2 linked regions of the Kluyveromyces lactis genome follow. The protein of the gene in region 2 interacts with the protein of the main gene of each other region in a biochemical or structural test. Links are inferred from orthologs where the notes say so. Each region holds a gene or a part of one and is shown on either strand. Other genes may lie near its edges.

The links. The genes of interacting proteins can lie anywhere in the genome.
Region 1: the proteins of KAP95 (region 2) and ASM4 form a complex in vitro, tested with the Saccharomyces cerevisiae proteins (2 studies listed by BioGRID). The link is inferred for Kluyveromyces lactis from reciprocal best matches to the Saccharomyces cerevisiae genes KAP95 and ASM4.

What each region holds. Positions count from the first base shown.
Region 1 is NC_006042.1:687,669-690,864, forward strand, and holds ASM4 (FG-nucleoporin ASM4), read right to left. Parts: upstream 1,859-3,196; coding exon 614-1,858; downstream 1-613. Other genes in the region: NUR1 (Nur1p), read left to right, coding at 1-504; LUC7 (Luc7p), read right to left, coding at 2,118-2,888; KLLA0_F07271g (uncharacterized protein), read left to right, coding at 3,127-3,196. UniProt on the Saccharomyces cerevisiae protein: Functions as a component of the nuclear pore complex (NPC).
Region 2 is NC_006038.1:508,655-513,074, forward strand, and holds KAP95 (karyopherin beta), read left to right. Parts: upstream 1-1,512; coding exon 1,513-4,098; downstream 4,099-4,420. Other genes in the region: long-chain fatty acid transporter ACB1, read left to right, coding at 365-391, 469-705. UniProt on the Saccharomyces cerevisiae protein: Importin beta subunit that functions in nuclear protein import through association with the importin alpha subunit, which binds to the classical nuclear localization signal (cNLS) in cargo substrates.

The sequences.
Region 1 (3,196 bases), on a different chromosome or scaffold from region 2:
CAGCGTACGGAAAACTACGTAAGGTTCTCGTACCATCACCCTAAGTCAATAAATGGTGCTTATGTACGAGAATCGTATCCTAGCAGACAGCATAGTCCGCGTTTGAGCCCTTCTCGCTATTCTCATCTTCAAAGTGGTAATACACCTTCCGCTCCCTCCACGCCACTTCTAATACCATCTCAACAACCTCATTTCGATCATTCCATGTTGGCCAATGCATCTAGAAATCATAATATAAGTGAGAGAAGAAACTCTCATAGTCCTATTAAACAACACTTTGCAAATAGGTTACTAAACTATCCGGATGAAACAAATGATAGCATACCCGATGTGTCTGATGACAGATTCAGAATGGATGATCGTTTCAGAAGAGGCAGACAAGGCTATTTCAATCGATCTCCCGACATCAATTCTGGTACGTTACATTACGATGATGGTGATGATGATGATAACCGTATATCAAAGTCTCCCTTTCGGAATTCATCGTCTTCACCATTTCGGTAGTTATTCACTCAAATACTCACATTCATTGAAGTTTGGTGCACTGGAATTTCTTGAGGTATCCGTAAATTATATAAACATAATACATCTCTAATTACTAAAGACAATGAGACTATAGGTCGTTCCACCCGAATAACCAATTGTTGACCCTTCCAATTAAATTTGTTGGTTGTTGGTTATTCCCATGCTGTTCCTGTTCTCGTAACTTGTTCTCCAAATTTCTTAAAAAGTTTGGACCACCATGAGGAGGGTTTGCATTATGCACAAACAACTGCTTTCCATCTTTGACATCCAATTTCCGAGTAGAAAAGGTGAACCCATGTTTATTATTATCAGCACTTTCTTGTGTCCCATTTTGTATATCAGATGATTCAGGTCCGTTTGGTTTCATCGATAAACTGAACGGGATTTCTCCGATGTCATCAGTTTTATCGATTTTGCACGAAGCCAATTGTTCTACGGCTGTTTTGCTATAAGGAACGCAGCCAATTAAACAACCTCCATAAACGGTACCATTCTCTTGTAGAGCTCTCAGAGCGGCACTAGGGGAGTCATACGTGATTTTAATCCATCCATCGCCCGTGAAGATAGGATATTTCTTATGAGGAATTTTAGAGTCCTTATTTTGAGCACGAATTCTAATAGTAGCACTGGATATGTTGTTACCTGTAACACCTCTTAGAACCTCAAGGTCCTCTAAAATATTTCCGAATTTTGAGAAATGTAATATTATTTGGTTTGAAATGGATTCTGGATATCCAAATACAATTACTGCGCTCTCTTGCGATTTTTGTCTTGATATATCATTTGTTTGATCCGCTGTCGGTTTTACAGGGGATTTCGACGCATCTCTGTCGAATGCGTTTCTTGTGCTCTTAGTGTATTCTTGAGTCAAAGGTATTTGGTTAGACGAAGGCATTGCGTTCACGTTAGTGGGGACAGACCCGAACTCATCCTCTCGTTGCCAATCATATAACGATTTTGTTGGGGGAGCTTCATTCGATTCCACATAAGTCGCGATATCAGTAGGTTGTGCAGGCTGCGTAGAGCTGAATGTTGGCTTCTTTGTGCCAAACTGGACGCTATTGAATCCGGATCTTTGGGAAGAGTTGTCATTCGAAGATCCATCTCCAGATGAGCTCGGTTTAGACGATCTTTTTATCACGGATTGTGGAATGTTTCTCTTTCTAGCTATATTATACCAGTTTTCTTCCTTTCCATTCGTGGCAGAGCTCTGTACTAGTGATTGTGAACTATTCTGCTGTTGTTGGTTTTGCTGCTGCTGCTGAGGATAATTTATTTGCAAGTTTGCAAACCTGTTCTCTTGTTGCGCTTGTTGGCCAAATACTGAACTCATGATTTAGGATTGTCAGTTCGCTTTCTCAACAATGTTTCAACAGTCAAAAATGATCAATTTATCCTACTTGAAATTGAAGAACACACCAAACCACAGTGTTACCGGTGCATATGAACATGCTACGATGATAACAGCTATTCTCATCTAATCTTATTCTTGATGTTTATTAGTTGAAATTGTTTTATTTCAATTAGAATACTCAAATCCGGGTAATGTTTGCCATTATGAACAGCTTCAGTGTATGTGTAAATTTATACATTCACGATCGATAAGATTTACCTCTATATACTGCTTTTTGATGTCTCCTTGTTTGCGGGAGATATGTGTGAAGATCTGTCCCTTGTTCGTGCAATCTCTTTTTTACCATGTCAAGTTCTTTACGCATAGTTACGTATCCTAGATGGAGTTTGCCCATGAAATGGTCAGCGAGTCTTCTATCCGTGTCTAATCTTGAAAGGTAGGCTCCACATACACGGCATACCTGTAGCTTCTGTTGTGCACTTTGGCCTGTGTTTTCGTTCATTTGCCTGCATTTTTCGCTGAGTGTGTCCCTTTCTGTTTGCAGTTTGTTATATTTACAGCTTTGAATCATCGCCTTCATAACTTCTTCGTTTTGTATAAGCATATCGATTTCTGAAAGCATTAAAGCACATTTGGATTCAAGCTGATTCACTGCTTGTAGAAGTGCTGCTAATTTCGAATGTTCCTCATGATGCTGTAACTTTTTATGTGCCATTTCAATTTGAACATCACAATCACTAAGAATCTTCTTCAAGATGGAGTAATGCTCAAGGTCAAACTCAGGATATTTCTTGCCCTTCTTTACATCTCTTTCATATTGCATTTTATGCGAGACTGAATGTATACGTGGACAATGCCCCATGGGCTGCTTGGTCTCTTGGAAAAGGTCATAGGGGCAATGACCAATGATAAATGATTTGCACGTTGATGGTGAAGTTAGCCCATGCGATGTGGCAGCCGAAGACATAAGCTGAGAAATCAGCTTGCGCTGTTCTAAAATTGCAGACATTTCTCACTTACAAATATCTCTGATGGAAGTAACACCAAACTGTTGCGTGCAGTTTGGACTCTGTGATTAACTTTTTCTGCTCTGTTGGTCAGTTCAACAATGATACTTCTTCAGTACGCCTTTTCAAGTAGCTTGTTGAAAATGCCAGGTTTAAATTCTGACGACAAAATATACTGAAAATAAATATATAATAACACAAGCAAAACATGACACAAATGGCAGTTTAGGTTTTCTAAACATGATCATTCCTATCTTAGGTGATCCTTTTGAAATAATTTGTAGTACAATTAGAACATGCAAGCTAGAAA
Region 2 (4,420 bases):
TAGCTGTTTTGACCAATGAAGTTTCAATCTGCCCAAAATAAATCATTTGGGTTTGACAATAAATGAAGACAGTTTGATAAGAAAGCTAGTCGAGTTAAATAGACGCTTCTAGGTCCTTTCTGTTTGCTGTTGGAGCAAAAAACGCATCAGCTGTTAGATCTTACCTGAATACTAATGCCGTTCATTATGAAAAGTTTCGTGCCATGTAAGCAAAAACTGGAGGAAGTTGTTTTCAGTGAGAAAAAACATATAAATACCTAATGCACAAAATCAAGAGAAGCTTTACACATGGTACTAAACGAAGGATTTGTGAAAGACAAGTGTTAGTTCAATACGTCAGATATCGACACTCACTCAAAACACAATGGTTTCTCAATTATTCGAAGAAAAGGTATGTGGAATCGTTGTTGCAATGGCTTTTGATTTCCCTTAATAATCATACTAACCGCATCTTACATTTATCTGCAGGCTAAAGCTGTCAATGAATTGCCATCAACTCCAAATAACGATGAATTGTTGAAATTGTATGCTCTATACAAGCAAGCAACCGTCGGTGACAACACCAAGGAAAAACCAGGCATGTTCAACTTGAAGGACCGTTACAAGTGGGACGCCTGGGAATTGTTGAAGGGCACTTCCCAAGAAGATGCCGAACAACAGTACATCGAATTGGTTGACCAATTGATCAAGAAATACGCCCCATAGAGCTGGATGGTCTCGCAAGTTATTGCATCATCTAACTAACTATCTATATCTACATATATATTATCCTTGATCCATATAGCTAATGATAATACCCTTATTACTCGGTTTGAAACACGAATTACAAGTCACGTGAACAAGCTAACGCCAACTATTTACCCGGCTATTTGCAGTTGAGTGGCAAAAAATTCTTTCTTCCCTAGCAGTATATAAGTTACCCTCCGTTAAACAGGAGCACGATCCCTATTTTTCTCTTCATTTATGGGGTTCATACATTGTTTTCTAGGCAATATATCCGGGTAACAGACTCTTTTACTTTCCATCTGATTCCACTCCAAATCGTAGCACAAACGCGCTTTACAAGATGCTACACAGCTTTTTCTTATTTTTTGCTTATTCCCAAGCTTCAAAGAATTTCTTTCCTTCACATCTATTTATCAAACAAAAACAACTAGAAAACATTTCGTAAACAAAAGAACTTAGGATCCAAGAAACAGGGAAACATTTCACTTTGTATCCTTGCGTTTAGGTGTCTTGTGCAAGGGAGAACGGTTCGTGAGACACTTGATCGAGAGTTCATACTCAGAAACTCGTTAGTAGGCGCCGAATAATTACAGAATAAAGGAAGATCTAACGTCGCTATTCGATATACTGATACTTTTATAAAGTGAACCAAGTGTGAAAATTTATTATTTGCCGTTTGCTGTTGCAGTTCCTTGTTTTATTTCTATAATTTTGGAGACTGACTATTGAAACGACCCGCTAGGATTTGGAAACACTAGTAAGTTATAATACCCTTTACAAATCGTTATGTCAGCTTCCGAGGTTGCCCAGTTTTTGGAAAACATTATCATTACTCCGGACCCAACGGTCCGTCTTCAAGCGGAGACGACGTTGAAGAAATTATCTAACGATAATTTCTTGCAATTCGCTGGACTTTTGTCTCAGATCTTGGCCGATGTGTCCGTTCGTCTTGAAGCTAGAATTCTAGCAGGTTTGACGTTGAAGAACGAATTGATTTCGAAGAACCCAACAAAGGCCCAGCAGTTTGCTCAACGTTGGTCTACGCAAGTCGATGCAGAGTCTAGACATCATATTAAGCAGTTTGCGTTACAAGCGTTGGTTGATCCAGAGACTCGTGTTGCCAACGCTTCAGCTCAGTTGATCGCTGCCATTGCAGAGATCGAATTGCCATTGAATCAATGGCCAGAGTTGATGAAGATTATGGTAGATAATACCGCTCAAGAACAACCAGAAAATGTTAAGAGAGCTTCCTTGTTGACATTGGGTTATATCTGTGAAAGTGCAGACCAAAGTGATGAAACTTTAATCAATCAATCGAACAACATTTTGATCGCTATCGTTCAAGGTGCACAGTCGAACGAAACTTCTAAGATTGTCAGACTTACCGCGCTTAATGCATTGGCTGACTCGCTTGCATTCATTAAGAATAATATGGAACGTGAGGGTGAAAGAAATTACTTGATGCAAGTCGTATGTGAAGCTACCCAGGCTTCGGATGAAGATATTCAAGCGGCCGCATTTGGTTGTCTTTGTAAAATCATGTCACTATACTATTTCTACATGAAACCTTACATGGAACAAGCTCTATTCGCTTTGACCGTGGCTACTATACAATCATCCAATGAAAAGGTGGCAGCAATGGCCGTTGAATTTTGGTCTACCATCTGTGAAGAAGAAATTGATATTGCTTTTGAACTGTCACAGTACTCCAACCCAGGCTTGGAATCTTACAATTTTGCTCTAGTATCCATCCAAGAAGTGGTGCCAACTCTATTACAGCTTTTAACAAAGCAAAATGAAGATCCGGATGATGATGATTGGAACGTGGCAATGTCTGCTGGTGCTTGTTTGCAACTATTCGCTCAAAACTGTGGTAACTACGTAGTAGAACCTGTCTTGCACTTCGTTGAACAGAACATCACCAGTGACAATTGGAGACAACGCGAAGCGGCTGTGATGGCTTTTGGTTCTATATTGGACGGTCCTGACAAAACTCAATTGACTAGTTTAGTCCATCAAGCGTTACCACCTATCCTCAACCTAATAACGGATCCAGTTTTGCAAGTGAAGGAAACAGTAGCATGGTGCATCGGCAGAATTGCAGACTCAGTCGTTGCTGCTATAGATCCTCAAGACCATCTTTCTGATGTTGTAAACGCTTGTTTGATCGGGTTAAAAGACCATCCAAAAGTGGCTACCAATTGTTCTTGGACGATTATCAACCTTGTCGAACAATTAGCTGATACCCCTTCTTCTCCGATATACAATTATTATCCAGTTCTTGTTAGCGCATTGCTTGAAGCTTCAAACAGGTCAGACAATGAATATAATGCTAGAGCATCTGTATTTTCTGCTTTGACTACTTTAGTAGAGTTCGCTAATGACCAAGTCGGGGAAACTACTACCTCAATTTCCACTTTTGTTTTGGATAAACTTGGACAAACAATGCAAGTGGATGAAGCTCAATTAACAGCTGAAGATAGACAAAACTTACATGAATTACAATCGAACATTTTATCTGTTTTGGCTGCAGTGATTAGAAAGAACCCACAATCTGTTAATCCAGTAGCAGATATGTTGATGGATCTATTTATGAAACTTTTGAGCAAGAATGATACAACATACGTGGAAGATGATGTCTTTTACGCTATTTCTGCTCTAGCATCTGCGTTGGGTAAAAACTTTGAAAAGTATTTGGAAAGTTTCTCCCCATATTTGGTTAATGCGTTAAATCAAGTACAGTCCCAAGTTTCTATCACTGCCGTCAATCTAATTGCTGATATCTCTAACTCTTTAGAGGATGACTTCAAGAAATTCGCTCCATCGTTCATGAGTGTTCTTGGGCAAATGCTTTCTTCTCCAGATGCGAAGAAGGAATTACAACCTGCAGTCCTTTCTGTTTTTGGTGATATTGCCACCAACATTGGATCAGATTTTATACAGTATTTGTCCCAAGTTATGTCCGTGTGCGTCATGGCTCAAAACTATAAACCGAATTATAGCTCTTCTGATGCCCTCGATTATCAATATAAATTATACGAATCAATATTGGACGCATACGTAGGAATAATAACAGGGCTACACGACCAACCAGATGCATTGTTTCCTTACACAGGTTCAATTTTCCAATTTATCAACTTATTGGCTGATAATCCAAGTGTTGCATTAGAAGATTCAATTGCAAGAACAGCAGTCGGTATAGTGGGTGATATTGCTGCCATGTACCCAGACGGAAGGCTCCAACAATTCTATACACAACCATGGATGATTAAGTTTGTAAAGGACGTGAAAACCAATCAATCCTTTTCTCAAAACACTAGAGATACAGCAAGGTGGGCAAGAGAACAACAAAAGTTGCAATCTAACTTGTGATTCTTTTCATTCGCTCTTGTTTGCCTGCCTACTATTAATAACAATACACTGACTTCCACAGACAACTCACTTGCATAATTCACTGCCTTTGACAGTTTATTCACTCCAACCACTGTTCATTGGATCTATGGACGCCAGTTCCCTCATCCTTTTTAATATAAAGAAGTCGACCAGTTCAAATTTCCTTTGATCCACTACTATCATTCTCATTACTCCTACTACTCTTATTCCCTACTCTTCTACTACTTACTACTCTCTTTTATTCTCACTATTGCACTACTTATTATTCTACCCTTGTATTTTATTTAATAACTCATTATTC